Linked DNA regions of Diceros bicornis minor. The protein of the gene in region 3 purifies or fractionates together with the protein of the main gene of each other region. This does not show direct contact. Links are inferred from orthologs where the notes say so. Each region holds a gene or a part of one and is shown on either strand. Other genes may lie near its edges. The genes, in order: WDR44, EVI5 and RAB11A.

Region 1 (9,950 bases), on a different chromosome or scaffold from region 3:
CTAACTAGACTCCTAAAAATAAAATAAAACGAGTAACAACCACTGTTCTTAGATCAGCTATTCTGCCACTGTTTTTCATCCTGACTTGGGAGAAAATTTGTGGGCAAAAGTTAGGATCCTAGAACAGTCAAGGGCCTCTGAGAGCATTCCATGAAGAAACAGAATCACGGCTGATAGGAGGAGACCATCTTAGGAGCCCCACTAACAGGGTAAGTGCCAGAAACCTAGAGCAGGATGCCAGGCAATACTTTCCCTCCTTCCACAGACAAGGCAGCACACTATAAACGAGGAATCAGGAGACTTGGGTTCTAGTTCCGAGTCTGCCACTAATCAGCAATATGTCACTTCCCCTCTCTGAGCCTAGGTTTCTCTTTCAGTTAAATGGGAGGGCTGGGCTACAATCTCCGGTCCCTTCCTACTCTAAAAACGTTACCATTCTATCTTTCCTTCCAAGGCCTCAAAAATATTTTGGTTGCCACACAAAAAATTTTAAAATAAAGAATGCTCAAAATGTCACGTTTATTTTTATAACATGTTCTCAGTGCCAGCCTTTAGTATGTGTATGTATAATCCACACAAACCAGTAGGAGTATTTATCTCATATATAATTTACCCAGTAAATATCTAATTTCAAATCTATGGGTCTTGAATCATGTACCCAATACAATCAAGTTTGTTAAACTAAAAAAAAAAAAGATCATGGAAAGATTTCCCAAGAACAAAAGCTTTTCAGTAAAAGCACACTATTAAATCTCAACACAAGGACAGACTTTTAGAGTTGGAAAGGTTCTCAGAGTGTAATCTCCTCAATTTAAAGATGAGGAAATGAAATGACTCATAGCCCAGGCTTTTTTCTACTATACCACACTTCCTCCTGCTTTCCTGCTTTATCAAAAGACAGCACGGTAGCAAAAAGAACACCAGACTGTGAAAGTGATCTGGATTCTAGTCCTAACTCTGACATTAATTTGCCGTGGCACCTTGGACAAGTCACTTTCCCTCTCCAGGCTATGGTTTTCACATTTTATATGAAGGAGTTTAACTAGATGTCCCTTCTAGCTGTAACACGCTATGATCTAATAAAATTCCTATCTGACAAACAAAATACGTATTCCTGAAAGAGAAAGTGGGAATTTCTAGCCAAGAGAACTGAAAAGTTTGGGCTGCTGGTTTTAAATAGACGCATCAGTTCAATTCAACAAGTTGGTCCTAAAGCGTTTTACTCCAGAATCTCTTAGAGGGGAATACCCTCTACACACACACACCCACACCCACACAGTCTGGGGCAGCTATGATGTACTAGGAAAAAATACTGGACTAGGAGTCTGAAGAACTGGTTTCAAATCCCAGCTCGGTAGCTTACAAGCTGTGTCTCCTAGGCCAGTTCATTAACTTCTTTGAGTCTAAGGTCTCTCATACGTAAAAAGAGAGATAAGAATAAGGAAACCTGACCTAAAATATCAATCAAAATAAAGCATTATAAATATGGTGTATATTGCAGAGCTGGGCACGCGGAGATGATCTGCCACTGTGGAAAAGTAGGCTGCATTGGAATCAAAAGTCTTTCTATTAAAAAACTGGGCTGATTTTTAACTTATTAAATTTGCTTTCAAAGAGTAGAATAACAAAGCTGAAGACACCAGTGGAGTGGAAATAGAAGAAATCAATTTTAGGAAAGGGATTGTGTATGTGGATTCTGCTAATTAACAAAACACACCAGATAACTCGCAACTGCCTACTCAGCTTACTACAATTTGGTGAAATGGTCTGTGTACTCTAGAACATGCAATAGCAAGGAACATTTCTTGAAGTGCCCAAACTCAGTCTGTTAATCTTAGAGTTTGTATGGTATGCCACTACTCCAGTTCATATCAAGGGACAGAAGATATTTCTGATGACCAGATATCTAGTGACACCATCTGTTTCCACAAATCAAGAATTCTCATTGCATTTCTAGGTTGTTAGTTACCCAGCCAAGCCTCCTCACAGTACCTTATGCAAATGACAAAACTTGTCACAAAGGACAGAGAAAATGTTAATGATGCCAACCTTTTGCTGTCCTCCCAGTACTGCTAGTTCTTTTCAGATGCAGTTCTCCAGATGAGTCTAATTCTCTTCCAAATCCCCTCACTAATACAGGATAGAGCCATGAAATTCACAGACTGACATAACAGTTTTAACCACAGAGCTCAAAATGCTCAATATTTGGGCAGGTCAGAGTTAAAATTAGAATGCTGGGTCCCAAGAGACATTTTTACTTTTCACCAAGTATCAAAGGATCAAAGTGCTTGAGAAGCTATATTGTCCCGTGAGAGAAGAAGTGACTCTATCAATTCTATCAAAATGACTCATTCAGTTTAGATAAGTTAAATAGCTCCAAGTTCTGCATACTTCCTCCCAAAGTAAGCACTGTGTGAAGCTAAATTTGCAGGAAAAGAAGTCAGAAGAGAATGAACATTTGAGTTCTTTCTCTGTGCCAGGTAATGGACTAGGCAGTTTACACAGGTCCTGATATAACTGTCCTTAAAAATTAAATTTGCTTTATTCATTGAAAAGGAACAATATTCACATAGTTCTAAATTGATTAAAATCATATACATCCATTGCTATTTTCCTCCCCTCCTTCGCATACACACACACCAAAGTACTAAAGGATTAGGCCTTATTTCAACCTAAACTGACAGTTGATTACTTTGAGGGGAAAACCACAAAAACAAAATTTAATTTCAAGGGACTCCAAAGTATTTGGAAATCCAAATGTATTTTCTATCCTCTACCATCTAGCTATGAACTTGTGTCAGATACTGAACTTGAAGGAGATTCAGTGCCATCTCAAGATTGGCCAGCGTCACTCAAAATCCCATAATGGTGACATGAAGGTTGGTGGAAACACACACACATCAGCCATCTACCAAAGTACATTTCTTTCGACTTTGTTGCTGCCACTTTTTTGGTATATATTATATATAATATATATTAGGTTTTATAACGACTTCTAGAAAGTACAGATAACTTTATTTACATCAAACAAGGTATTTCTTCTACCGGGTAAGCTTGAAAACTGAAGGCAGCTGACTCCTGGAACCATATTAGGGACTTACATTAACATACAAATTTTACCACTTCTCTAGTTCTTATAGCATGAAAATATATTTCACTGCCTCTAGTTCCACACAAGTCTAGAAGAGTTCGGTGAAATTGCTTTAAACATTATTTCAACTTTGAAAAGTGGAGGAGTGGGTAAGCAGAAGTCTCAGTCAAGCGAAGCACTCCAACTACTGGACTTCCTACTCAGAATCTCCCAGATTAATCACCACTAAAACATCTTGCAGAATTAGATAAAGAGCACAAAGCTGTGGCTCTCCTTCCAACCACCAGATTACTCAGCACTTGTTTGTATCCCTGTAGTCGGTTGTGTACGTTTATGTCCGGCTACCCTTTTAAGACCGCGTTCTTCCTAATGGTAAAGGACCTTGTCTTCGATTTCCTTTGCCTCACGGTAAGGTGCTATTTTAATAAAACCCTTTTGATCTAGAGGTACATCAGCTAGAGGACTTTCCCAAGTAAACACGCAACCTTTCTCCCGCTCCTCTTCTTTCTGTGCAGCGAAGAGGACGGCGAATAGGGAGAGTTACAGCTCCCTTTGAAACGAACAGGTAAGTCAGCGGCAAAAGAAAGAAAGAGATGCGAAATGTAATTTCTCCTGTTACTGCTCCTTTAATCTACGGTCCCCAAGGCCAAAACGGATGTTTCAAAGGTAAGCTCTGAACCCCACAAATACAAATCGCCGGCTCTCAGGCACCTAAGCTGTCCCACCTCGCAGAAGCTGGACAAGACGAGAAAGGGGCTCCGAGAGAGCCGCTGGGGCCGTTCACCAGGGAAAGGAGGGGATGTGCCCGAGGTGGGCGACTCCCCCTCCCCCGACTCCCTCTGAAGTGCCCGAGTGAGACTGAGAGGAGCAGCGGCGGCGGACACAGCGGGACCGGGGAGGGGTGTGGGGAGAAGGCACGGGGGTAGCCGGGGGACCGGGACGCCCGGCTTCTGGGCCATAGCTACAGTTACTCACCCTACAGGGTAGCCGCCCCCTAGGTGCACATCTTCAGGGGCATCAAAGAATTCCTCGGTGTCGCTTTCCGACGCCATTTATAGGACACACCCGCGGGTGAGGGGGCCGGCGTCGCCTGGAGAGAGGGTGACTCTGGTCTCCTCCTCGTCGTCCTCCTCACCAGCGAGACCGTGGGGAGGTGGGTGCCGGGCGAGGATGAGAAGGGAGCAGATGATCTGGAGTGAGGAGCCGGTTAGGGGCAGGGGGCCGCCGTCGGCTGCCGGGCTGCGAGAATGACCGGCAGAGCGGCCGCCTGAGGAGGCGGCGGTGGGTCCAAAGACTGTTGCTGCCGCCGCTCCCGGCGATAGGTGTACAGGGAGAGCGAGAGAAGAGGCGGTGGCTCTCCTCAGTGGGGGAGGGCGGGCGCGCCGACGACAGCAGCTCCAATTTCTCCCGCAGCAGCAATTACAGCAGCTGGGAGAGCTGGTTGCCCGCAAAATACGGACGCGCACCTACCCTCGCGAGATTTCCAGAGGGGACGGTAGGGCGTGGGCGGGGCGAAGAGGAGGCGGGGGCGGCCCCAGAGAGGCAGCGCTCCGATTTCTTCTACTCGAGAAGCCTATCAAAACGGCGCAAGCGCGTTGAGGGCATTAGGTGAGAGCCGGAAGTAGTCGAGAAGTGTGGGGATGAGCCTCCTGAAGGGAGGAGTTTAGGACCTGCGCAGGAGCGGCGTGGTGCCCGGGCGCCGAGGGGCGGCTGCTGATGTTGGTGGGGTCCGGCAGAGCGTCGTACCCGCCTAACTCTGCGCTTCCAAAGAGAGGCTTTTTCAGAGGGGTGATTTTGAGTGTGCTTTTTACTTGCGAGAAAATGCTGTCGGAAAAAACGTTGGCATTGTGCTTTGCGTTTACGTCGACCTCACTTATCAAAGCCCGGAATATCCCACCCTAGGGCGTAGGCAGGTCTACCACCTCTAGCGTTACAAGAGTAAACCGCCCTATTTATAACAAGATCTCTAATTGAGATCCCTAAATACGGTCCTGCCGGCCAGAGGGTGGGGTCGGTGAGAGATACGTGGGAGTATGCCAGTTCCATGAAGTAATAATGGATATGCTGCTGGAGCTGAGCCAGCATAGGGCCTCTGGTTACTTTTTCTCTGCAAATATCTGTTGCCCACGCTTAATGTGAGAAAAATCCGTACATGCTGGCCAAGATGTGCGTCAGTCAGATGGTAAATGTATATTGAGAAGACACCGTTGCAAGGCTAAGAGCTAGTAACTTAATTCTGATCCTCGACTGCCCGAAGTCCAGTGATGAAAATAGAAAGGTACTTTTTAAAAGACCAAGATGTTCTTTCTTAAATAACGGGTCATTGAGCATGAAAGTGATAACATTGATTTTCTATATGATCGCAAAGCACATTTATTTTTCCCACTGACGTCATGACAGGCAGGCTCTCTGAGCTGTTAGCGCAGCCTCAACTATTGCTCGAAATGGCGGCGGAAAAGAAGGATTGGGACCAGGGGCATGGCCTCAGAGACGCTGGAATGGGGCTCTAGATTCCTCCTTGTAAAGCAACCAGGAAAAGATGTGGTGTTGTCTGGTGGACTTGTGTAAAACCAAATGCCATATACTGTATATTCTGTAACACCCGAGGGAGTTCAGGGAAAACACGGCATAATCAAATAAGGTACTATTTTTGCAGCAAACCGTATGATTATTCATACGGCGTAAATAAATATCAGTAAATAGCCTCATTCAGTTCAGGTCAGATACTACTGACAAGTAAGTTTAAGTTAGATCAATTTGACTGTCAAATAGATTGCTAAACAAACCAAAATTCTTAGTTTCCAGAGCTTTTTGGATTTCAGAACTGTGGACAAGAGATTTGTGGATCTTTGTGAGGATATGACTTTTGTCACAATCTAGTAATTATTAGCTTTTATGTGTTTTAAACATGTTAATTTTCTAGGCATAAAAATGTATCTCAAAGTACTAACCTGTTATTTTGTTGCTCACTAGGAAAGATATGCTTTTTTCCTTATGTTATGGAAAGATGTAAGTAAACAAACTACCTGAATTTATTCTCTTCCTAGTTATCTAATAATGAATTTATGTTTGCCTTAAAAATTAAAGTTTGGTATAATGTACTGTTCTAGGTGCTGAGGACAATTCAAAGATGAAGACGACAACTTAGTTCCTGTCTTCCTGGAAGGAGCTCACGATCTGGCAATGGAGACAAATATGGAGTCCTAGTTGGATGCTTTTTTTCGCTATACCATACCACCTCTCTTGGACCTTTTAAGGTACCTTAAACATTATACTTAGAAAAAGTCAAAATGGAATAGGAGTGATAAGATGAAAACATTTTTAGAGCTATTAAAGTTGTCTATTTAAATGCTTTTATCAATTGTATGAGAAAGTGAATTTCTGAGAATGTCAAAACATGTGGGTACCACCTATCATTTTTAAAGATGTCAAAAGATGTGTTTGTTTTGCCTGTAACATCTGTTGTTGAGTTTTAAAGCAGCAGGTTTTAGGTTTAGTCCAAGACAGTGAGTTTGAAGTTTTTCTCCTTATTAGAAATGGAACCCTTTAATCAAACCTAATTTCATGCAAAAGTCCACATATCGTAAAAATAAAAACTGCTCTAGTTGAAGCAGGAATAGTTCAGGTCCCTGCCTGTTTGGCCTTCCCTGAGTCTCCAGAGACTACACCAAGGTTCCATTTAAAAAAAAAAAATTGAAAACTACTAGTCCAAAGCAGGGGTTGGCAAATTATGGTACGTTGGATGAATCTGTCCTGCCGTCTGTTTTCGTAAATAAAGTTTCATTGGAACGTAGCCAGGCTTATTCGTTTATGTATTGCACATGTCTGCTCTCAGGGCAGAGTTGAGTAGTTGGGACATAGACTCTACAGTCTGCAAAGCCTAAAATATTTACCATCAGGCTCTTTACAGAAAAATTTTGCTGACTCTTGGTCCGTAGGATGCTATTTCTAGGGTACCCCAGAACTGAAAGTATACTCAAATTAAATGGTTGCTTGAATCAGTTTCACAACAGAATTATATAATGCAGCAAAATCATACATATAGATGAAAATGAAGATAAAACCTTTTTCCACCTGGCTCAGTCCCAATGATTTTAAAAACTACACAGGTCTAAGGCTAAGGTAAGTTTAGGGAAACTTTTTATGCTTCCTTATCTGCGTAGCATAAACTCTCCTTAGGAATTCCAAAGGCTTGAGGTTACAGCCACTGTATGGAACAACTTGTCTGTGGGATGCTTGCTCTCTCCTCTTGGCGAGAATAATACAAACTGGTAGTATCCTTGGGGCCAATTTCGCTCCAACCCCAAGTGTAATCATTTGTAACGTGTGTAATGCATGTAGGCTTTTGTTACAAACAAGAGCTAACGTGATAACTCAGGGAAAAACTTTTATCTACAAGGTTAGGTGATTTGAAGATACAATATTGACATGAAAAGATTTAATATTGCAATCTCTGTGAGGGTTTTTATGGATTTTGAAGTATCAGAATCTATGAAAAAATCATTCTGAAACTGGCCAAAATTTCTCCGAGCCAAGATAAAATTCTATAATCATCAACCCTTAATTATCTGTTTGAAAGGTCAGTTGTGTTACAGGTTATAATAGTAAATATTCAAAAAAATCATTTCTCTTTGGCTTTGAAATCTTTATATCTTTTTCAAGTCCACCTTACCTTCTTAATAATGGTTTATGTTAATATTAAAATGAATTATTAATCTCTGAGCACACAAGAACTGAAAGTAGACAAAGATAGTCTAGAAATGTGTTAAGAGAGACAGAAAAGCCAGCCTGGGATTTAAAATGTGTAATGGAATATTATGTAGCCATGTATTACTGTTCAGAACTCTGGAAGAAAGCTAACTGGAATTATCTTAAACAAAAAAAGGGAGTTTATTTGTTTGCATAATCAAATACAGATTGCTATGACACTTGTCTGTTCCTTTGTGATTAATATATTAGAGAACAATTTGAGCATAAGGTGAATTTTGCGTTTGCTTATGTGTGATTTTATCAGCCAGAAACATTAGGTGAAAGCAGAAAACTACGCCCAGCTGAATCAAGTCGCATAGGAATACACAAAATACACACATACATACCCCAAACATCTACCAGCTACCTCATTTCCTTGTGTGTGTTTTGAGCCACACCCATCTACCTCTGGTATTACTTTTCCTCTGATTTCAGCTGACCCTCCGTCCACCACTTCACAATAACTCCCAAGCTGCAACCTCTCTGATACCTATTTCCATAAGCAAACTTCAAGTCTTTTTCAAAATAAAGCACCATATTTATTGTAGTATTTATGTATTTCTTAACTATTTAACATGTGTAAAACTGTGCTACCATTTTTATTAGGTTCATATCTTTTTGTGTGTGTCACTGACAAAGTTTTTGAGTGTTGTACTCCTAGCCCCGTTTTCCCCATAAACCCTGTGGTTTTTATTGAACAATTTTGCATAGTGCATTGATTTTTAGGAAAGCGTATGTCCCCTTATAGCAGCACCAACTGTGGTCCAGATGAAGTAGCTTCAGGCATGGCTGGATCCAGGGTCCCAGATACATCAATACTCTATCTTCCTGTCCATCTCTCATCTTTACTTATCTCTGCTGCTTTTTGTGCTTTGGCTTCAATCTTCCTCTTGCAGATAGCTTCCTCTTCTAGTCAACAAAGATGGCTGCAAGCAATTTCAGTTTATAATGTCTTAATAATTCTCAATCCCAAAGGAAGTGAGACTTTCTCTCTCCCAGTGTTCATATATTAAATCTCAAGAACGATGTTGATTGGTCTTAGGAAATCCCTCTAGCTAAAGGCATAGAGAATTCTAATTTGTCAGGCCTGGGTCAGCTGATTCCCTGCCACACACCATGTGGGGAAAGACTACTGTGCTTATCTCCTTCACTAGGACCAGGTAGAGTATGCAGTGGATATTTTTTTCTAAGAAAGTGTTAGTAGCAGACAGGAACAATGTGCTCACCATAAGTTATTAAGGGTTCAGTTTCGATATTCATTGACATGACAAGAGCTCATGATGTGTTAAATGAAAACAGATGTTACAAAATACTGCATGTGGAATAATCCCATTTCTGTAAAATCATTTATCTATGTATCTATATATGTATATAAGCATAGAGAATTCTGGAAGAATGTTCACAAATGATTGATGGTGATTGTCTTTGGTTACTGATTAAAATAATTATAAGAGGTTTGTGGGGCCGGCCCCGTGGCTTAGTGGTTAAGTGAGCGCGCTCCACTGCTGGTGACCCGGGTTCGGATCCCGGGCTCGCACCGACGCACTGCTTCTCTGGCCATGCTGAGGCGGCGTCCCACATACAGCAGCTAGAAGGATGTGCAGCTATGACACACAACTATCTACTGGGGCTTTGGGGGGAAAAAATAAATAAATAAAATCTTAAAAAAAAAAAAAAGAGATTTGTGCCTTATTTGTATCTTTATATAGTGATTGAATTTTCTATAGTGAATATGTATTACTTTGTAAACAAGGGGAAAATAGTAAAAGAAGATATATAACCAATCATATACAAGTACACTTGTATCATACACTTGTATCATATACAAGGTAGACTTACATACAAAATTAAGACCGGAAATTCATTCCCAATATAGTGTATGGCTGTGAGTCCTGGGCCTATTGCAGGTATTACACTTAGCTTCTGGAACAGTTTAATAAGTGCCACTGAGAAGCTGAACTTGGAAAAAATACCCACAAAGCAAATCTTGGAATGTAATTAGCCTACCAGTAAAAAGTCGTATTTTCTGATTGCGGGCCTGACACTCAAAGAGAATGGTAATGGTAATTTCCAAAGTAACTGTGAAATGATGGACTGATGTGGAGCTTCT
Region 2 (10,387 bases), on a different chromosome or scaffold from region 3:
AATCCGGAAGAAATAGCTGTAGTTACATTAAATATAATATATATTATATTAAATGTAATATAGTACTTATATTAAAAAATTTTATACTTATGCTTATATATACTTATTTTATACTTTTATACTTAAGTATACTTAATTATCAGGAAAACTTTATGGATTATACCTAAATGGGAGTTAAGCCCTTTAAAAGGCTGACACGATGGCGATAATAGAATTCTATACTATAGTTGTAGGTTTACATCAAGAGATGAAAATCTTATATGCTGAAATGAGCACAAGTTAGGATCCAGAACTAGTAAAGTTTCCCCAAAACTTATACTGAATTACAAACAAAGATAAAATGTTCTTTTCCACCCTCCCCCCTATTATTACAGAATTAGTAATGTCAGGGTAGGGAAGACACTATCAGGGCTTTCTGTGCAACAATAAACAAGAAAAGTAAATTTACAAATTGAATAGATTTTAGTTCTAATAAGTTTTATATTGGTCTAATTTAAATGAGGTAATTAAATCTTTTACAGCTTTTATTTGTGAATACAGCATTTATTGTTATTATTATTTTGTATGTGTTTAATTTCTCATTTTCAATATATGCTCCAGGAGATCAGGGATTTTGTCTATTTTGTTCACTATTGTATTCTCAGTACTTAACCTTGCCTGGCACGAAACAGGTGTAGGATAAATATTTGTTGAATGAATGAATGAATGAACATAGTGATGCCATCCTCAACGATTCTCCAAGTATTACATGTCACTATCTAAAATATAAGATGAAGCTGGTGTGGAGCAGAGCCACAGTCTCAACCTGCCATGGAAGGAAATGTAAGTGAAAAATAAATCTTTGTTGGTGTAAGCTGCCAAGATTTTGGGGCTTTTGTTACTGCAGCATAACCTAGGAAAAGCCCAATGATACAGGATATACAACGATACGCATATACAATGATATGCACATACAGAAGATAGCCCAATAGAAGAGATTCCAAAGAATTAGTTCAATAAGCATTGACTGAATACACCTGCACACTCTTCATTCCCTAACAGAAAGAATGGAATTCTTGTTCACTAAGACAAGCCTCAAATATCACTTACTTTGTGAAAACTTCCCTGACTACCCCACTATTATTTAGGACTCTTGATTGCACATGACAGAAACTTGACTCTAACTAGCTCCTCACCACCTCTCAACCTGCTCTACACCCCTCAGTCTTTCCTGTCTTAGTAAATGGCAACTCCATCCTTCTAGTTGATCAGCCCCCAAATCTGGAGTCATCTTTGATTTCTCTCTTTTATCACATGGCCAATCTGAAGACAAATCGTGTTGGCTGAAAATATATCCATATTTGATCACTTCTCACCACTTGCATTCCCCGCACTAGTCCAAATGGTCATCATCTCTCAACAACTTCTGACTGGTCTCCCCGTTTCCACCTTTCCCTAGAGTCAGTTCACTGCACAGCAGCCAATTGATGTTTTTAAACATAAAACATGAGTCAGATCATGTCACTCCGCTTATCCATCCCACTTAGAGTAAAAGCCAAAGTGCTAAAGATGGCCTGTAGGGTCTCCCACGTCATCTGGTTCTGTTTTTTCTCTAATTTCATATCCTAGATTTTCTATCTTGCTCACGCCATTCTAACCACACCATCAGCCTCTCAGCTGTTCCTTGGGTATACCAAGCACATTCCTGCCTTGAAGATGTGTACTTGCTTTTCTCTCTGCCTAGAATGCACTTTGCCAGATGGTTTACTCTCTCACCACCTTCTTTGTGAGGTCTTCCCTGCCTATTTAAAATTGTAATAACCCTTCTCCACTCCACCCTTTCTCCTTCCCTGTTTCAGTTTTCTCCACATACTTACACCATCTCATATACTATATATATACATATTTTGTTATTTGTGTGTTAAATTTATTATTGCAACTAAGTCAAATCAAGATTCTCTTTCTCCTCATTCTCTATTCTTCTCTTACAAGATGATCTAATATCCCAGGAGGCTTTCTTTTCTTTTTTTTTATTGTGGAAGAATATACATAACATGAAATTTACCATTTTAATCATTTTTAGGTGTATACTTCAGTGACATTGAGTACATTCACAATATTGTATAACCCTCACCCTATCTAGTTCCAAAACCATTTCATCACCCCAGACAAAAACTCTGTACCCATTTAGCAATAATTCCTTGTTTCCTCCTCCACTGAACCCTAGTAGCCTCTATTCTACTTTCTATCTCTGTGAATATGACTACTCTAGATACAAGTGGAATCATGCAATATTTGTTCTTTTATGTCTGGCTTATTTCACTTAGCATAATATTTTAAAGATTCATCACGTTGTAGCATGCATCAGAACTTTGTTCCTCTTTATGGCTGAATAATATTCAGTTATAAGGATATGCCATACTTTGTTTATCTATTAATTTGTTGATAGACACTTGGGTTGTTTCTCCTTTTGTCTATTGCAGATAGTGCTGCTATGAACATTGGTATATCTGTTTGAGTTCCTGTTTTGAATTCCTTTAAGTAGCTTGGAGTAGAATTGCAGGGTCATAGGGTAATTCTATTTTTAACTTTTTGCGGAACTGCCAACTGTTTTCCACGGGGGCTGTATCAGTTTACGTTCCCACCAGCAATGCACAAGAGTCCCAATTTCTCCACATCTTCACCAATATTTGTAATTTTCAACATTTGTTTTTTTTCACAATAAGCATCATAGTGGGTGTGAGGTGGTATTTCATTGTGGTTTGATTTGCATTTTCCTAATGACTAATAATATTGTTCGTCTTCTCACATGCTGTTGTATATCTTCTTTGGAGAAACGCCTATTCAAGTCCTTTGCCCATTTTTTAATTGGCTTATTTGTTTTTTTGTTGAGTTGTAGCAGTTCTTTATATAGTCTAGATATTAATCTTTTATCAGATGTATGATTTGAAAACATTTTCTCCTATTCCATGGATTATTTTTTAATACTTTTGATAGCATCCTTTGATGCATAAATATTTTTAACTTTGGTCAAGGTCAATTTATGTATTTTTTTCTTTTGTTGCCTGTGTTTTTGGTGTTGTATTGAAGAAATCACTGGCAAATCCAATGCCATAAAGATTTTACGCTAAATTTTATGAGTTTTATAGTTTCAGGGGCCAGCCCCTGGTGTAGCGGTTAAGTGCATGCTCTCTGTTGCTGGTGGCCCAGGTTCGGATCCCCGGCCCACACCGATGCACCGCTTGTCAGGCCATGCTGTGGTGGCGTCCCACATAAAGTGGAGGAAAATCTGCATGGATGTTAGCTCAGAGCCAGTCTTCCTCAGCAAAAAGAGGAGGATTGGCATGGATGTTAGCTCAGGGCTGATCTTCCTCACACACACAAAAAAAGAGTTTTATAGTTTCAGCTCTTAAGTTTAAGTCTTTGATTCATTTTGGATTAATTTTTGTATGTGGTGTAAGTTAAGGGTCCAACTGCATTCTTTTGCATGTGACTATTCAGTTTTCCTACTATATTTTTTACTTGCAGCACATATCTATTTATCGTCTGTTTTCTTCCACCAGAATTTAAGCTCCCTCAGGGCAGAGGTTTATGTCTGTTTTTGTCGCTGATATATTGTATTAATTATCTATTGCTATTGCTATTTACTGCTATTTGTGGTAAAAAAAAAATGACCCCCAAATTTAGTGCCTTATCAACAATAAACATTTATTACCTCTTACAGTTTCTATGTGTCAGGAATTTGGGAGCAGCTTGCTGACTGCTCCTGGCTTGGGGTTTCTCGTAGATTCAGTCAGAGGTAGGCCAGGACTGAAGTCATCTGAAGACTTTACTGGGGCTGAAGGTTCCACTTCCACACTGGCTTATTGACATGGCTGTCAAGTTCGTTCTAGAAGCTGATGGGAGGCCTTAGATTTTTTTCTTGGCAGAGCTGCTCACACACAGTGGCTGCCTTCCTCCAAAGCATCCAGTCTAAGAGAACAAGGTGAAAGCTACAGTGTCCTAATGACCCAGTCTCAGAGGTTATACTCTGTTGTCTTTGCCATATTTTATTGGTCACATAGACCAGCCCTTATTCAATGTGGGAGAGACTATACTAGGGCATGAAGAACAGGCATCAAGAATCACTGGGGGCCAGATTAGAGGATGGCTACCACATGTATCTATCCCTAGTGCTCAGAACGGTGCCTGGTAAAATAACCTGGTATAAGTATTATATTATATATAAGTTAGATATATATGTATATGTTCAAAAAATATTTGATGAGTGAATGAATCACTTGAAGGTTATTGGTGCAGTCAGAGCATTAAAGAAAGATCAGAACAGGGGCGGGCCCATGGCATAGCAGTTAATTGCACATGCTCCACTGCTGGCAGCCATGTTCGGATCCTGGGTGCGCACGATGCACTGCTTGTCAGGCCATGCTGTGGTGGCATCCCACATAAAGTGGAGGACGACTGGCACGGATGTTAGCTCAGGGCCAGTCTTCCTCAGCAAAAAGAGGATTGGCAACAGATGTTAGCTCAGGGATGATCTTCCTCACACACAAAAAAAGAAAGATCAGAACAACAGAGGCAGGGTCAGCCCCGTGGCTTAGCAGTTAAGTGCGCGCACTCCGCTACTGGCAGCCCAAGTTCGGATCCCGGGCGCACACCGATGCACTGCTTCTCCAGCCATGCTGAGGCCGCCTCCCACATACAGCAACTAGAAGGATGTGCAACTATGACATACAACTATCTACTGGGGCTTTGGGGAAAAAAAGGAGGAGGATTGGCAATAGATGTTAGCTCAGAGCCGGTCTTCCTCAGCAAAAAAGAGAAGGATTAGCGTGGATGTTAGCTCAGGGCTGATCTTCCTCAAAAAAAAAAAAAAGAACAACAGAGGCTTAGGAAAGGCAGGATTGGTTGGAATCAGGAATTCTAATATCTTCAGGATGGACTTCATCTCATTTTCACTTCTCTAAGTATCACCAGGTTCTCTGGGTTCTCATCTTTAGAGCTTCATAATGAGAGGTCAAAGGGCCTTTACTTTTTCAACTCTGGTTTGAAAAATAAGGGGCAGGACTCTCTCAGACCTACCCCCTTGACCCAGTAGTATTGTCAGGTCGTTAAGGTAATGTGATTAGCTTAGCTTGAGTCAGGTGTCTACATTTAATAACAGAAGATGGAAGAGGGTGTGGAGAGATAAAAATAGTACAACTCACTCAGCCAGGTTAGGTACTCCCCATTCTATATGTTCTCACCATATCATATCTCCATATAATAGAATGTATCGTTATTGTCCATTTATTTGTTCACATGTCTGTCCTCTACACCAGACTATACATTCTTACGGTAGAGCCTGAAAACAGGTACGACATTTTGCTAACTCCAAATAACATGGGCTTTGTAGTCAAGAGAGACTTAGGCATGTATTTTGCTTTTCCTACTATCGTTGTGACTTTGCACCAGCCATAGCTCCCCATCTTTTAAATGGAGGGCCTAATAATGGCTGGCTCATGTGGAAGCACGGAACGTTATTGCTGACATGTTGTAGAAGCTGAAAATGTTAGTTCTTGTCCTTCCTCTTGGGAAAGTGCCTGACACAATTGTATGCCCTTATGTTTGTGAATGAATGAATGAGTAAATAAATGAAGCATTCTCAGTGATTTGCTTGGAGTTCACTTGTAAATGAAGATAACAATAGGGTTATAGTGAAGATTAAGTAAGATGATAGATAAAAAGTACTTCGATAGCCCAGATCATGGTAAGTACTCTAAAAAATAAGCTATCATCATTAGAGAGGCAATCATTTAAAAGTAACATATTACATCAGATATTTTTCAAGAGAATGGAGGAAGCGGCTTTTTCTCTATTCAGATCTCTCTCTCAAGGTACATCTCTTGCTTCTGTATTTCATAGTAAACTCTCAATTAATGGCCCTGAGTAACAAAATTGCAATATCCATTAACAGAACACAATAGCGTGCAGGATTCCAAAACCTCAGCTAAAGAGTAAAAAAATAACCAAAAAGGTAAGTCTTACCAAATTAATAATTGTGTCTAGTGTCAAATCCCAAGAGCTGAAACCACCTAATATACAGAAGCTTCTAGCCAATGCCTCAGAGTCAGCACCTCAAACACAATAACAGTTAATATACAGTTGTCATTCTGAGACAAATTGAGTCATTGAAGGAAGGAAGGAAACAGGAAGAAAGGAAGGGAGGGAGGGAGAGGGGGAGAAAGGAAGAAAAAGTGTAAGAAAAACTAAAACAATTAGCCGTCACAAGACCAAAAAGCTTTAGTTACTGCATTCCTAGTCCTCCACATTCCCAGCTTTCCCTAAGGGTACCAACTCACAACTGTATAGGATGGAACTGAAAGGGTGTTTAATGGGTGGATCCCAGTGGCAATGTCGTTGTAAACACTCCCTATGAGTCAGCTATAAATTCAATTCAAATCCCCAGTATCCCTGTCTTCTCTGCTTATCATGGTTACCATCAAAATGACTGCTGCCTTTAGAAACCCTAATGGGAAACAGGTAAATGTCTAAAACAATGTTTGATTTTATATTAAAACTTATAAAAACGTAATTGCTGCAACAGGAAATATTTTGTCATTGAGTTGGGATTTGTATACTTTGCTTAATCTTCAAAATAGAAACAGCTTGTTAACATTTCTTCAGTTTTATTTTAAGAATGTTATCTCATTGTATTGTGGCCATTCAAGTGATGAACGAGAATTTACGAAGTGTTAGGTTTAATTCCACACCTGTAAGAAAGCCATTTTAGTAACTGGCTTTTTGTAATTCAACACTGTTTCTCTCCTTGCTGTAATTGGCTGCTGGTTATCTCTTTTGAATGTACATTCTCAGAGGAGAGCTGGTGTGTCTGTATGGGCTTTAAACTTCTCACGTGGAGAAAAGATTAGCTGAGGAAAATGACTGGTTATCATAGTACTATTTGTTCACAAATTCTATTTGGTGGCGATGTTGATGGTTGCGTGGCCTCTCAGAGATAACTTCAGCAGTGGTTTTTCCCAGTCGTGTTTAGAAGCACAGTTCCTAATACAAGCTAAATTAATTTTACTGTAAAGCAACACCTTCCTAACATAGTTTCCTCATCTTTTTATGGTGGAGGTGGGGGGCAGGGTGCTAATTAACATTAGCTAAAGTTTGTACTTGACTTCACTGTTATTAGACCATTTTCACATGAAACAACACATCTTTCAACACATCTATCATTGGTGACTCTTATCTTTATTTGCCTGATGAAGAAGCTGAAGTTTACAGAGGTTCAAGGCTAGACAACTAGCAGGTGGTAGAGCCAGGATTTTTCTAATTCAGCACCTTTTTTGGTCTATCTTTTAATTTTGCACGTTGGTGCTTTGTGGCTTTGGATATTAACAATTACAATAGGTACCACTGTTGAATGCTTATTATGTGCCTTGCGTATATTATTTCATTTAATTGTGACTTCAGTGCTTAGGTAGATATTATTATTATTATCTCCAGCTCATGGATGAGAAGATTGGGGCTCAAAGAAAATAAGCATACTATTGGCAAGTACACCTGAAATTTTAGGCTATAATCTAGTCACCTGCATTAATATAGAGATTACTAATTCCCAGATAATTGGAAAGTTTAAGTGGAATTACTACTCTAGTTGTACCAAATTTTACTTTGCTTTAAAACAGATATTTCAGGAAGTTAAGAAAAGAATGGACTTCTCCTTTTGGTGGGTGGGGTAGAAATTGGCACTCTATTGATGTCTCATTTTGGTGGTGCAGTTTCAAAAGCTGTTGTTGGGTTGATGGTGTGAATGTCTAATATCACATATAGAAATGATGTCCCAACTCTAGAGCCAGAGAGCTGGTTCTTTACCACGACCATGCCAGATCTAGTCTCGACCTGTGCACAAGTGCCAAGAGATGGCAATAAAATTGTGTGTCTCTTAACAATGTTCTTTCCTAAGATAATGTGTCTTGCAAAGAATGGAATGTGGTGGAGGTGAAGTGGTTATAAGAAGAAAGCCGTTCTTACAACCTTGATAAATAGAGAGGCCACAGCTTTTGTGCTTGAGTGCCTTTTGGATTCGTGTTGTGGAAAGCAAATGAGCCAAATGAAATAGGCTTTCACTACTTCATTGTGAGCTTTCATTGTGAGTGTGAGGTGTTGTTCACCAGTGGGTTTGACTCCACTGGTGAGCTCCTCCTCTGTACCCTGGTATTTTTTCCTCTCAGGGAATGCCTCCCTGGCTTTTCCTTTCTATGAGCAATGAGGCTCACATGGCTGTCTTATAAAACACCTCAGGCAGTTGAGAGCATGGTGTTCTGAGATTTAACTGTTGCCAGGTTTAGACGGGATGAAATTCAGACCCTCCTTTTGTTCCCCTCCCGGACAGCGACACAAATCAATGCTAAGCGTGTGCAGCATTAGAACATAGAAAACTTCGAATTGCTATCTGAATTTACCTCAAATTAAACTGACCCTGAGGAGGGGCCACTGCCCACCGCACCATGCTTCCTTTATCTCCCACTCTAGTTTCAGACTCCAGAGTGTGAAGAGCAGAGTGGCAGACGCTGGAGCAGAGGTGGTGTTGGTGTGGAATTCACACAGTGGAATTTCACTTACGCAAGTGCGCAAGCACTTGTGAGAGGTTAGAATTAGCTACTTCTCTGGTTAGATTTAGCTATTTCAGTGAAAAGTTAAAGTGTAAGCTTTTTCATCAGATAAATTGATATGCTTAGGGTGAGTGAAGGAAAGGGGTCAAGCAGGGATAGTGCTGGAGGGTCAGAGCTAATGGTACAAGCCTCTCTCCTCAGGCCTGGGATCTCATTTGAGATAATACATCTCAGGCGCTTAGCACAGCAGTAGTGATTATTTATATTATATATATATATATAAATAATATATTTATATATAAAATACATATATAAATAATATATTTATATATAAAATACATATATAAATATATATGTATATAATTTGTACTAATAAAATCACTCTTTATCATTCGTTCAAAATACATTGAATAGCTACTATGCAAAGTGCTGGGGCTATTGAGAAGCCTAAAACAAAATATGATTACAATCATCGCGAAGCTCTTGATCTAGTAGGTAAATAATATGCATAAGCCAAAAATTTACAATTTTAGAGAAGTACTATAAGGCCTAGAGTTTAACCACTTCTGGCATTAGGCTGACTGGGTTCAAAGCCGTGCTCCACTATTTTCCAACTGTATAAATAGGGGCAAGTTACTTGGTATTTACTAAGTCTCAGTTTTCTCATAAGCAAGGGGGTTATGATAATAATACCTACTTGAGGGCCAGCCCCGTGGCGTATTGGTTAAGTGTGTGCACTCTGCTGCTCGTGGCCCGGGTTCGGATCCCGGGTGCACACCAACGCACCGCTTGTCAGGCCATGCTATGGCGGCGTCCCACATAAAGTGGAGGAAGATGGGCAGATGTTAGCTCAGGGCCAGTCTTCCTCCATAAAAAGAGGAGGATTGGCATGGATGTTAGCTCAGTGCTGAGCTTGCTCACACACACAAAAATAATAATAATACCTACTTCACGAGGTGAGTATGAGGATTACAAGAAATAGTGTATGTACAGCTCTTAGCCAATACCTGAACACAGTGAGTGCTCAACCATGTGTTAACTTATTTTCAAAATAATAATGCTGTCACTATTTTTTAAAATTTATTTTTATATATTTTTAGGTAAAATTTACATTAATTGAAATGTTAACTATATATATATTTTTATAATTTATTTATTTATTTATTTTTCCCCCCAAAGCCCCAGTAGATAGTTGTATGTCATAGCTGCACATCCTTCTAGTTGCTGTATGTGGGACGCAGCCTCAGCATGGCCGGAGAAGCGGTGCGTCGGGGCGCGCCCCTGGTCGAACCGGGCTGCCAGCAGCGGAGCGCGTGCACTTAACTGCTAAGCCACAGGGCCGGCCCTTAACTATATATTTTTTGATGAAATGAAGACATCTCTGTAACTCACACCCCTATCAAGATAGAGACCATTGTTATTACTCAGAAACTTCTCTCATGTACCTTCCCAGTCAATCCTCTGCCAGAGGCCACTACTTATGATTTTTTTCACCACAGATTAGTTTTGCCTTATCTAGAATTTCAAATAAATAGAATCACACAGTATGCACTCTTTTGTCATTTATTTATTTTCAAATACGTAATACATTCACAGGGTTTGAAATTGAAAAGGTACAAAAGGGCAGGCAGTCAAAAGTCTCTTTCCTTGTCCTCCAGTCACTCAATCTTCCTTCCTTGAAGCAACCAATGTTATTAGTTTCATGTGGACCCATCCCATAGCTATCATTATTAACTTTGGGGTTTATACAAGGTGCTTTGAGAATTCAGTTTTAAAGGTTACCCAAAGATTCTTGTGAGAACCCAGCT
Region 3 (10,337 bases):
CTCTTCAACCACATTTAGTTTTTTACACTCTCTTGCAAACTAATGCATGGACTAAAATTTAATTCAACAAATCAATCATAGTACATCAGACCTAAAAGTTATCACCTGAAGGAATAACTGATAATTTACATACCCGTTTTTATAAATAAACTTGGAGATGTTTCTACTCCTAACTATAGGCATTGTACACCACCACCAAGAGTCTTTAAAATAAAATGCATTCAATACGGCTGAAGTCAAGTTTTTCCAGATTCAGCAGAATGTAAGTTGCTCAACCAAAAGTTGTGAAAGAAAAACTACCAAGATGCAATACAGCAAAGTTCCTACCATTGTTTCCACTGACAATCAGCTGATGGTTAATTACTACTGACCTTCAAGGAGACTGAAAAGAAAATGGTGTAGATTATGTATCCAGATATTTTCAGAAAATGTGATTCTGATTGGTGTCTGATTGGTGTCTACCACAATATCTGTAAATACGAACTATAATTGGTGCTTACTTCACTTATGTGTCCCACAGGGCCTTAACCACATTGTGCGTAAATACCTGTAGAATTAAAGTTTTTTTTTTTTTTTTTTTTGTGAGGAGATCAGCCCTGAGCTAACATCCGCCAATCCTCCTCTTTTTTTGCTGAGGAAGACGGCCCTGGGCTAACATCGGTGCCTATCTTCCTCCACTTTATATGGGACGCCACCACAGCATGGCTTACCAAGCAGTACTTCGGTGCGCGCCCGGGATCCGAACCAGCGAACCCCGGGCCGCCGCAGCGGAGCGCGCGCACTTAACCGCTTGCGCCACCGGGCCGGCCCCGAGAATTAAAGTTTTTAAAATAAAAAGTCAGGTTTTAAAAAATAAAATTAACTCCTCCCGACCAGAAGTTACTCACTGTTGAGCTTAACTAAAGATTAATGTTCAAGAACAAAAACATAATTTAGAATAATTGTCCTGCTCTCCCCACATTACATTCCTGCTTGGACTACTCCATCCTATACTAATCAAAATATCTTTTCATTTGCAACTAGTTAGAGTTACAAACTAACTTCCAATTCCCTCAACTATTAAGTTTGCTAGGTAAGCCTTCTTCCAAGAGAGCTCCAGCTCATCTTGGTGAATAAATCTCTGTAGAATGAAACCATTTGAAAATGAAATTATTGTTGCTTCGCTTTAAATTATGAGAACTGTATAAATAAGAAATTGGCTAAATAATCAGCACTGAGTAAAAAACAAAGTGACTCATATCCTGTAAGAGCTTTAAAAAAGTGGAAATCCTCCTCAGCAGAATTTTTTAAACACCCTATCTTAAACTGCAAAATGTACAACAAGATGAAACCATAACTCATGGAAATATAAAATACTTCAGAAGTTCCTAGTTCTAAGTTTCTTTACTAACACTTAAATGTTCTTACATTTATCAAGATTTAAGGTAAAAAAAACTGACAAGAACCAGAATAATCTCTTTCATATTATTACCATTTATTGAGTCCTCACAGAAGCTAAAATTTTACAGCCAGTCTCATTTACCCCTCACAACAGTCTGGAGAGGTAGGTATTATTTCCTTTTTATAGATAGGGAACTGAAGTTTAAAAAGTTAACTTTCCCAAGGTTACAAAGCAAATTTAAGACCTGAGTCAGGATTTGAATCCAGGCCTCTGTGATTCCAAAGCCCTGTACTCTCAATTAGTTAGGATGGTCTAATCCCAAAGATAAATTAAAATTCCTTAAATCAATCCAGGACAATTAATAATCTTAGTGAAAAAAATAAATGGCTTCTATAACCAACATTCAAGTTCCAAACCAAACAGGAGAAATACTCTGATAGTCTATCGTGTTCTAAATTACTTCAAAGATAGCTAGCTGTCACTTGCCACCGTACCTTATTTAAAAAAAAAAAAAAATCTCCCTTTAATGACTAAACCCTAGTCTCCAGGGTCTCACTAAGTAATTTCACCTGACCTCAGAGGCCTTCAGCAAACAGTATGCAAAGTAAGCCATGTTTCCTTTTTGTATCTGTAAAATGCATTAAGTACCCCCTCCTCTGTAAAGAACTTTTCACTATGGGAGGTGGGGGTGGATATTGAAGATACTCACCTTGTATAAGAGAATATTCTAGCCCAGAGCAGTAAGTGGTGATAAGGGTATATCTTCAGCTAAGATTTGCAAAGTACTGGTAAAGCAAAGATATGTGTCCTGCTTTGTTTAGTCAATCATTCTTATGACCCAATGGCAAAGTCAGAAACAATCACCATGCTTAACACTCTTTTTAAACTCCACCCTCCAATGTAAAGCTTCAATAGCAATGGCTTCTTCCTCCCTGGTAATGATCTTTGTTCAGCATACTACTGATGGCTGCCCTCCTAATTCAGGAATAGAGAAAGAGCATCAGAGTGAGAGCGCATTCACAGAACAAAAAAAGCATTTACTGTACTCTTTATCTTTGTTGATTAAAAAAAAAAAAACTATTTGGATTCTTTCCGGACCTAACCTACAAGCAATTCTTTCTATTCACCCCCCATCCTCCAATATGTTTTGTCCAAGGGCACTACATGTTTCCCTACTTTATAATAAATATTTAATTTGACCAAAGAGCATAAAACTTCCCCCCTGACCCCCACCTTTTGGGAAAGGCATAAGGCTAACTAGGACTCTTCCTTTCCCGTTCTAAAAACACCAAAAGGTTGGATCCTCCCAGTGTTGCAGCAGGAAGCAACCAGTCCATAGTGATAAAGCAGGCTAGTATTTGTGCAGCGCACAACCTTTCCTGCTCAGGAACTGGGCCTTCAGGTCTGGCAAGGATAACAGCCACCACCCATCCGCAACCCCTTCTCGCGAGCAGAGTCAAGAGTTATCCCGGGCTGGCTACCGCTGGGTGGGGAGGGTGGGAGAAAAAAGACTAGGTGGGAAGTCACATCAGTAGGCCGGGTCACTGCGACAAGTGCGCGGGTGGGTGATGGCCAATCCCTCCAACCCTACCCCCCACCCTCGGGGTCGCACAGGAGACGTGCGGAGCTCTAAACCATGTGGGGAGGGAAGGTAGAGGGGAAAGAGCTACCAACCCCGGGGGCAGTGCGAGAAGGTTACTGACCGCGAGTACGGTGGGGCGGGTGGGGGCCTCTGGCCCGCTCAGATTTTAACCCGGGCCCGGCCCCGCGACGGAAGACTACGGCTAGCAGGCGCGTCCGTCGGAGAAGAGGGGCTGTGAAGACAGGCAGAGCAGAGGCTCGCTCGAGGGGAAAGGGCGGCGGATAAGAAAAAGACCTGAAGTGGGAGTCTGCGCCGAGGGAAAGCTGGGGAGCGGAGGGAAGGGCCTGTCAGAGGGGCTCGGGGAGGGGAGCAGCTAGGAAGGGTGTATACCGAGGGGGAGGGGCAGCAGACCCGAAAAGACAGACGGTGGGAGGGGCGGCCCCTCCAAAGGGACGACAGAAACCGGGAAAGGAAGAAGACGATTTGGCAGAAGGACACTCGGTGAGGGGCCCTGAGGCTACAGAAGGCCTGCGGGGAAGTCGCGAAGAGACCGGTGTGTGGTGAGGACCCCTGTCCGAGAGGAGGAAAGGGGGCTGAGCCGAGAGACCTAAGGACAAACCGCAGGGAGAGGAAGGACTGAGGAAGGCCGATTTCAGAGCAGGGGTGGCCCGCACGCGGGTCCCCCGGGAGTGTCCCGGGCCCCCGAAAGGGGACTGGGTGGAGAGTGGGCGAGCCTGTGGCCTCACCTTTGAAGAGGTAGTCGTACTCGTCGTCGCGGGTGCCCATGGCGCGGCCGAAGAGGGAAGGGGTGGGAGCAGCAGTGGTATCGGTGGGACCAGGGGGCGTCGCTGCAGGGGCCACCCGAGCGCCGAGCTTCAGCTGCCGGACCGGGTAAAGAACCCCTCCCTGCCGCTACGCCACTTCCGGCAGGCCCCAACCCCTTAGGAGAAGTACTTCCGGGGAGGTGGCGCCCCGCCCCTGAGCCCAGGAAGGGCGGTGGGCGGAAGCATCGCGTCGATCTTCAAATTCTCACCCCCTCAAGGAGGCTCATGGGGGAAACTAAACCCTGGACTCCTAGCTGACCGCACTCTTAGCGGCCTCTTCCTCATTCCCCGCTCCGCCACGCCGGGAAGCGGGGCGCTGGGGAGCGCTTCGGCTCTACCGCGGTGTGGTGGGTTTGTGGATGGGGGCGGGGTTCATAAAGGATTAGGGAGCCGAAGGCGGGTGTCTTTGCGTAGCGGTTCCATGGTGTAATGGTTAGCACTCTGGACTCTGAATCCAGCGATCCGAGTTCAAATCTCGGTGGAACCTGCGCTGTTCGCTTTTTTTCCTGACCACACTATAAATTCATTTGTTCACTTAGTGATTGTTGTACAGCTACAGTATAGATGGCCTTGAACTAAATAGGGAGGGAATTTCACAAATATAATTTTTGCCTGCGAAGAGCTGACAGATTACCCCCTTCGATTCTGTACTATGTCACCTGATGGCTCCTAAGGAGCCTCTTCACTTTGCCGTTTTTTTAACCTGGGCCCTCTGCCTCAAACTTAATTCAAAAGCTTCATGAAACTGGATTTATTTTGCTAGAATTTTCAACCTCCGACTTTACTCCAGGGCAGGCGCTTTTCACTCACTCCTTTTCTCCGGAAATCTCTCAAACTATTTCCAGATGTCATTTAGAGAACTTCGCCCACCCTCCTCCTCATCAAGATTCAAGAACTTCTTGAGCCCTATTTGTCATCCTCTAAGCCAAACGCGTTTACATAATTATTTCATTTAACACGCAGAGCAAAGGATGGCAATTTCCATTTTAGCAAAAATGTAGATACTGAGACTCAAGTGATTTGCCAGAGATCACGCAGCAGGGCATCCCTGTCTTTGAAGAGAGTTTTGTCATTCCAAAAAGCTTTTCCCATTTATTGTCACACCCCCTACCACCAATATGCAAACCCACAATTCAGGCTTTTGGGTAAGGGTGCCTGTAGTAATCAGAATAATGGCTCCTCAAAGATGTCCACTTCCAAATCCCTAGGAACTGTGAATGTGTTAGGTTACATGGCGAAGGGGAATTAAGTTTGCAGATGGAATTAAGGTTGCAAATCAACTGACTTTAAAATAGGGAGATTATCCTGGATTCTCCAGGTGGGCCTAATGTTGTCACAAGGGTCCTTAAAAGTGGGAAAGGGAGGCAGAGGAGGTCAGAGTCAAGTGGTGTGAGAGGGCTTCAATCAGCCCTTGTGGCTTTGAAGATGGAGGAAGGAGGCCAGGAGCCTAGGCATGCAGAGGCTTCTAGAAGATGGAAAAGGCAAGTAGGGGCCGGCCCCGTGGCTTAACGGTTAAGTGCGTGTGCTCTGCTACTGGCGGCCCCTGGGCACACCGACGCACTGCTTGTCGGGCCATGCTGAGGCGGTGTCCCACATACAGCAACTAGAGGGATGTGCAACTATGACGTACAACTATCTACTGGGGCTTTGGGGAGAAAAGGGGGAAAAAAAAGAGGAGGATTGGCAATAGATGTTAGCTCAGGGCCAGTATTCCTCAGCAAAAAGAGGAGGATTGGCGTGGATGTTAGCTCAGGGCTGATCTTCCTCACAAAAAAACAAAAAGGCAAGGAAATGGATTCTTCCCTAAGGCCCCCAGAAGAAAGAGAGCTCTGCTGACACCTTGATTTTAGCCCAGTGAAACCCATGTCAGACTTATGACCTACTGAACTATAAAATAATAAATTTTGTTGTTTTAAGTCACCAAGTTTATAGTTATTTGTTACAGCAGCAATAGAAAACTAATACAGTGCCATTTTCAGGGCTTTTTCTCACAGTATAAAGCAATAGAAGGTTTATCTAAGGTCTAAATACTGCCTTGTGCAGGGGTGAGCATTATCCACGTTGGGGGAGATGCACAATATTACTCACGCAGCTAAATATTATGTGTACTACAGATTATGTATAAAACACAGTCCTGGCACTGCTCAGGTGGGTAGACAAGATGGGCCCAAGAAAAGGGGACTGTCAATAACTAGACAGTTCTGAAGGAGTAACTAATGAGAGTTCTGGTGATAAGTGCCACAGTTCAGAGACTGAGATAGTTATGAAGAACTCCCCGGAGGAGGAACTAGCATTGACCCCTGAAGGAAGAAGCAAGGAAGGAAACTCATTTTCGGAAGTGGAGGAAATTAGATGATAAGAACATGTTGAGCAAGGCCATTAATGCCGGAAGAATAATTATAACTTTTCCCCTTAAGTCATTGTTTCTCAACGTGTGTCCTGAGAAGGTCAGTAGTGTTCCTCCAAAGGATTGCATGGTCAAATAAATTGAGAAGAACTACACACTGTCTCCCCACCTTAGAGGTTCCCTTAGCACACTGGCATTTTAAAGTCTAGATATTCCACTCTGAAGAAATCTTTTTTTAACTGTGTAGAACACAGCATTTCCCAGATTCACCAGACCCCAGAACTCTTTTCCCAAGGAACACCTGTTAGCACCCCTCTAAACACTTTGGGGAAGCCATAAAAGATCTGTGGAGAAGTGATTGAAGTAAACCTTGTCTTAGGAAAATTAAGCTGGCTGTGGACTGCAGGACTCGGGTGAAGAGACTGGAGGTGTGGATATCAGTTAGAAGGCTATTGCAATTAACCGGGCACAAACTAATAGAAATGGGGTATAGCTAAGGGACTAAAGAAGAAAGAAAAAGCAAAGGCTATTGTGGAAAAAATGGTAAATGGATTCCACGGACAAAGAAGAGAATTAGGGTTTTACATTCTTTGGGGAAAATGAGTAGTAATTCCTTGATATATCTCTTTTTAATCTCTCAAGAAATATAGGTACTTAATGTAAATTACTTTAATGCAGAAATATAGAGTAAATCCTTAAAGTCTCCACTTCAATTCCTCCTCCAACCCCAGAGATAACTGCTCCGTTTTCTTTTAATAAAATCACGTTATATGTACCATTTCTCACCTTGAAAAATCTTTCCACATCAGTCCATACAGGTTTAACTCATTTGTTGCATAGTTTTCCTTAACAATGATGTACCATAGTTTGTACAAGCATTCCCATTCCCTTACCCATGGACCTGGCAGATACTGAGGGTTGCTAAATTAAAACCTATTCCTAAGCTGTTTCTTCCTTGCCCATTTCCCCATTAGAGGCTGGACAAGCTGAATATTCATTTTCCCAGCTACTCTGCAATATTTTATATACTAGTATAAAAATATACTAGCAATATATTTAATTTTTGCCCGTCTGGTGTGCCTAATAATTTCCACTTCTCTGATAACCAGTGAGTGTAAACATTTTCTCCTATGTTTATTGGCTGTTTATATTTCTTCTGTGAATTGCCTGTCAACATCCTTGTCCGTTTTCTTGTTGGGTTGTTTATCTTTTCCTATTAATGGGGAGGATCTCTATATATTCTACCTTTTAATCTTTTGCCTGTTATATATGGCACAAATATTTTCTCTAAGTAAATCACTTGATTTTTAATTTTATTAATGATGCTTTTGTCCATACAGAAGTTTTAAATTTTTATTTACTCAAATCCCTCTCAGTCATTTCTTCTATGGCTTCTGGCTGTTGCATTTTGGGTAAGAAGGCTTCTCCACACTAAGATGATTCAAAAAATGTTTTTTTAAAAAATATTTTTATAATTTTTTTCTCCATCTGGATTTTATTTATATTGAGGATGCTGTGAAATAGGGATCTAAATTAATTCTTTCCAAATGGATAACCAATTGTTTCAATATGTACTTGAATAGTCCATCTTTTTCCCACTGATTTGAAATGCCTAAATTTTTATAAATGAATCTCACATATATAAACGAGTCTGTTCTTGAATCTTTGCACCATACCTCTGGCAACGACAGAGGAACACTGCTCAGATGTCCTTTGAAGAGAGAGCCTATTGTGCCTATTGTGTGGTTGGCTGACAGTGTCCAGCTACCACACCTCCAAGATCCACTACAATGTTCACACTGAAGCCATGCTCCCTCCGGAATGTTCCCAGACAACGACTGAGTGCAGTGGGGGTTCTAGAGCTGGACCACTTCTGTACAGATTGGGGCTCTTCTAATAGGCAGTCTTTGCTCTTGAGCTCTCCACTGGCCTGGCCGAAATTTCCTCAGAATGCAATTACAGTCTGACGCTCTTCCTACCCAATCCTTCCTTTCCTCTCTCCTTGCATAGCTATTAGACCTGCTTTGTGGTCTGAAGGCCCTACTTCTCCCTTTTGTCCATCACAGGCATTCCTGCTAAATGAATCTCTTACACTTCCAATTCATCTGGTATCTGTTTCCAGAGGACTTGACTCTGATACAGTCCCATTGGTCAAGTTTTTTATTCCTATGCCAGTGTCACACTGTTTTGCTTATTATAGCTTTGTAGTCCATTTTGATGTCTCATATGTGGTACTAAATGAGTAAATATTTGTATAGTGCTTAGAATAGTGCCTGACACATAGTAGGAACCATTTGCCTTTGATAAATAAAAATAAATACGGCAATTCCCTCTCACTGTTTTTTCTTTCTAAACTTTGACTATTTTTAGGGACTCTATTTCAGATGAACCTTAGAGTAAACTTCTTAAGTTCCAAAAGATTCATATTGGGGTTTTGTTTGGGTTTCATTACTAATCATTAAAAATACTTTTTTCAGAAATGAAATATAGAATTTGGACAGAATGTACAAAAATATGAGATTCTGCCTATGAAGATACAAAAGGAATCAGAGAGATCTGAGGTTTAATATCTATTTGGAAGAAAGATCACTAGAAAAATGGAGGTGAGGAGAAAAAGCAAAAAAAGAGCAAAAATGTTGACTTGAGTTTCAGGCATGTCTAATTTAAACAGTTAGTAGGAAAACCAAAAGGAAATATCCAGCAAAAAGCCTGGGAATTTAGATTTAGAAATGTCTTAGCCTTAGAATATGTAGAAGAAGCAAGATCTGGAATATATCCCATCCTCTACAGCCTGGGAGGCAACTTTACATGGTTGTTTAAAACAGCGTGGAGACTGATAGGTCTGTGTTTAACTCTAGCTCAGCCATTCACTTGCTGTATCTTCATAATTTACCTAATCCTGCTGAAGCTCAGTTCCTTATCTGCAAAATGGGGATAAACGTGAAGACTGAAATAATATATTTGCAGCTCTTGGCATCATACCTGGCACATAGTAAATGTTCAGTTAATGCATTGGGTCTCAATAGGGGTCAGCTTTTCCCCCAGGGAATTTGATAATGTCTGGAGACCTTTTTAGTGTACAACTGGAAGGTGCTACTGGCATCTAGTGGGTAGAGACCAGGGATGCTGCTAAACATCCTACAATACACAGGACAGCTCCCCCACAACAAAGAATTATCTGGTCCAAAGTATCAATAGTGCCAAGGTTGAGAACCGTGAGTTAATAGTAAGGGTTAGCCAGAGGCCAGGCCAGGGCTTATGACGGGAAAAGGGTAGGATACCCATGAACATCACCTCTCCATCCTACCTCGTTTTTGAAAGACTGAATATACTCCCTAGGCCTCAGAAAGAATGCCCAGGACAGACATACCTCCCTTCAGTATCCCGTAAAGCAGAGCCCAACACAAAATACTTCCATATGTGGTTCCTATTTGTTAAGTAAACAGACCTCAGCATTCTGTTTCTTGACCCAAAAGGATGTTTACAGTGTCATTCACTTTATAACTATTTGTTAACTCTACATATCAGTTTCATGCATTTTTTTGTAATGATATTAGGTTTATTTCACAATGAAAAGAATTTTTTGAGAAAGAAAAGTAAACAGAACTTATGAAGTGGTGAAATTTGTTTTCTTTGCTTTTTATCTTTTCTACTGAGTATACTGTAAGGTAACAAATTGTACACAAGATCAGGAAATTCTCAGCTTTGATTATCTGATTATAAGTCACTAGAGTACCAATGAGTCAAAGAAAGAAATGGTAAAAAAATATATTTATTTAGGTATAAATTTATTTAAATTTTAAATATTTATTTATATATAAATGTATAAAATACATGTGTATTATAAACAGTTATTATTTATATCCAAATGCTAGGTAGCTCAATCATAGATTTTTTTTCCATATCATGAAATCTCAATCAGAATAACTTTTAACTTTAATTATAACAGTTTTCTCTTCACATATTCTTAGCCTTCTCGATTTGGTACACATAGATCATAAATCATCTTTCAAAAATTAAAAGGAAGGACATTATCAAGAGAGTGAAAAGATAAGCCAGGGAGTGGAGAAAATACTTACAAATCATATATCTGATAAGCAATTAATATCCAGAATACATAAAAAACTCTTACAACTCAACGATAACAAAGAAACAAACAACCTAATTCAAAAATGGGCAGGGCCAGCCCCGGTGGCCTAGTGG

What was found.
Region 1: the proteins of RAB11A (region 3) and WDR44 purify together in Homo sapiens (affinity purification with mass spectrometry; 3 studies listed by BioGRID and IntAct, counting the BioPlex papers as one, with this or other methods). This does not show direct contact. The link is inferred for Diceros bicornis minor from reciprocal best matches to the Homo sapiens genes RAB11A and WDR44.
Region 2: the proteins of RAB11A (region 3) and EVI5 purify together in Homo sapiens (co-immunoprecipitation; 3 studies listed by BioGRID and IntAct, with this or other methods). This does not show direct contact. The link is inferred for Diceros bicornis minor from reciprocal best matches to the Homo sapiens genes RAB11A and EVI5.

Annotation. Positions count from the first base shown.
Region 1 is NC_080781.1:109,106,177-109,116,126, reverse strand, and holds the start of WDR44 (WD repeat-containing protein 44), read right to left. Parts: upstream 4,533-9,950; 5' UTR 4,144-4,532; coding exon 4,067-4,143; intron 1-4,066. UniProt on the Homo sapiens protein: Downstream effector for Rab11 which regulates Rab11 intracellular membrane trafficking functions such as endocytic recycling, intracellular ciliogenesis and protein export.
Region 2 is NC_080743.1:28,963,478-28,973,864, reverse strand, and holds the start of EVI5 (ecotropic viral integration site 5 protein homolog), read left to right. Parts: upstream 1-6,479; 5' UTR 6,480-6,498; intron 6,499-10,387. UniProt on the Homo sapiens protein: Functions as a regulator of cell cycle progression by stabilizing the FBXO5 protein and promoting cyclin-A accumulation during interphase. May play a role in cytokinesis.
Region 3 is NC_080744.1:60,100,893-60,111,229, reverse strand, and holds the start of RAB11A (ras-related protein Rab-11A), read right to left. Parts: upstream 3,872-10,337; 5' UTR 3,750-3,871; coding exon 3,710-3,749; intron 3,196-3,709; coding exon 3,085-3,195; intron 1-3,084. UniProt on the Homo sapiens protein: The small GTPases Rab are key regulators of intracellular membrane trafficking, from the formation of transport vesicles to their fusion with membranes.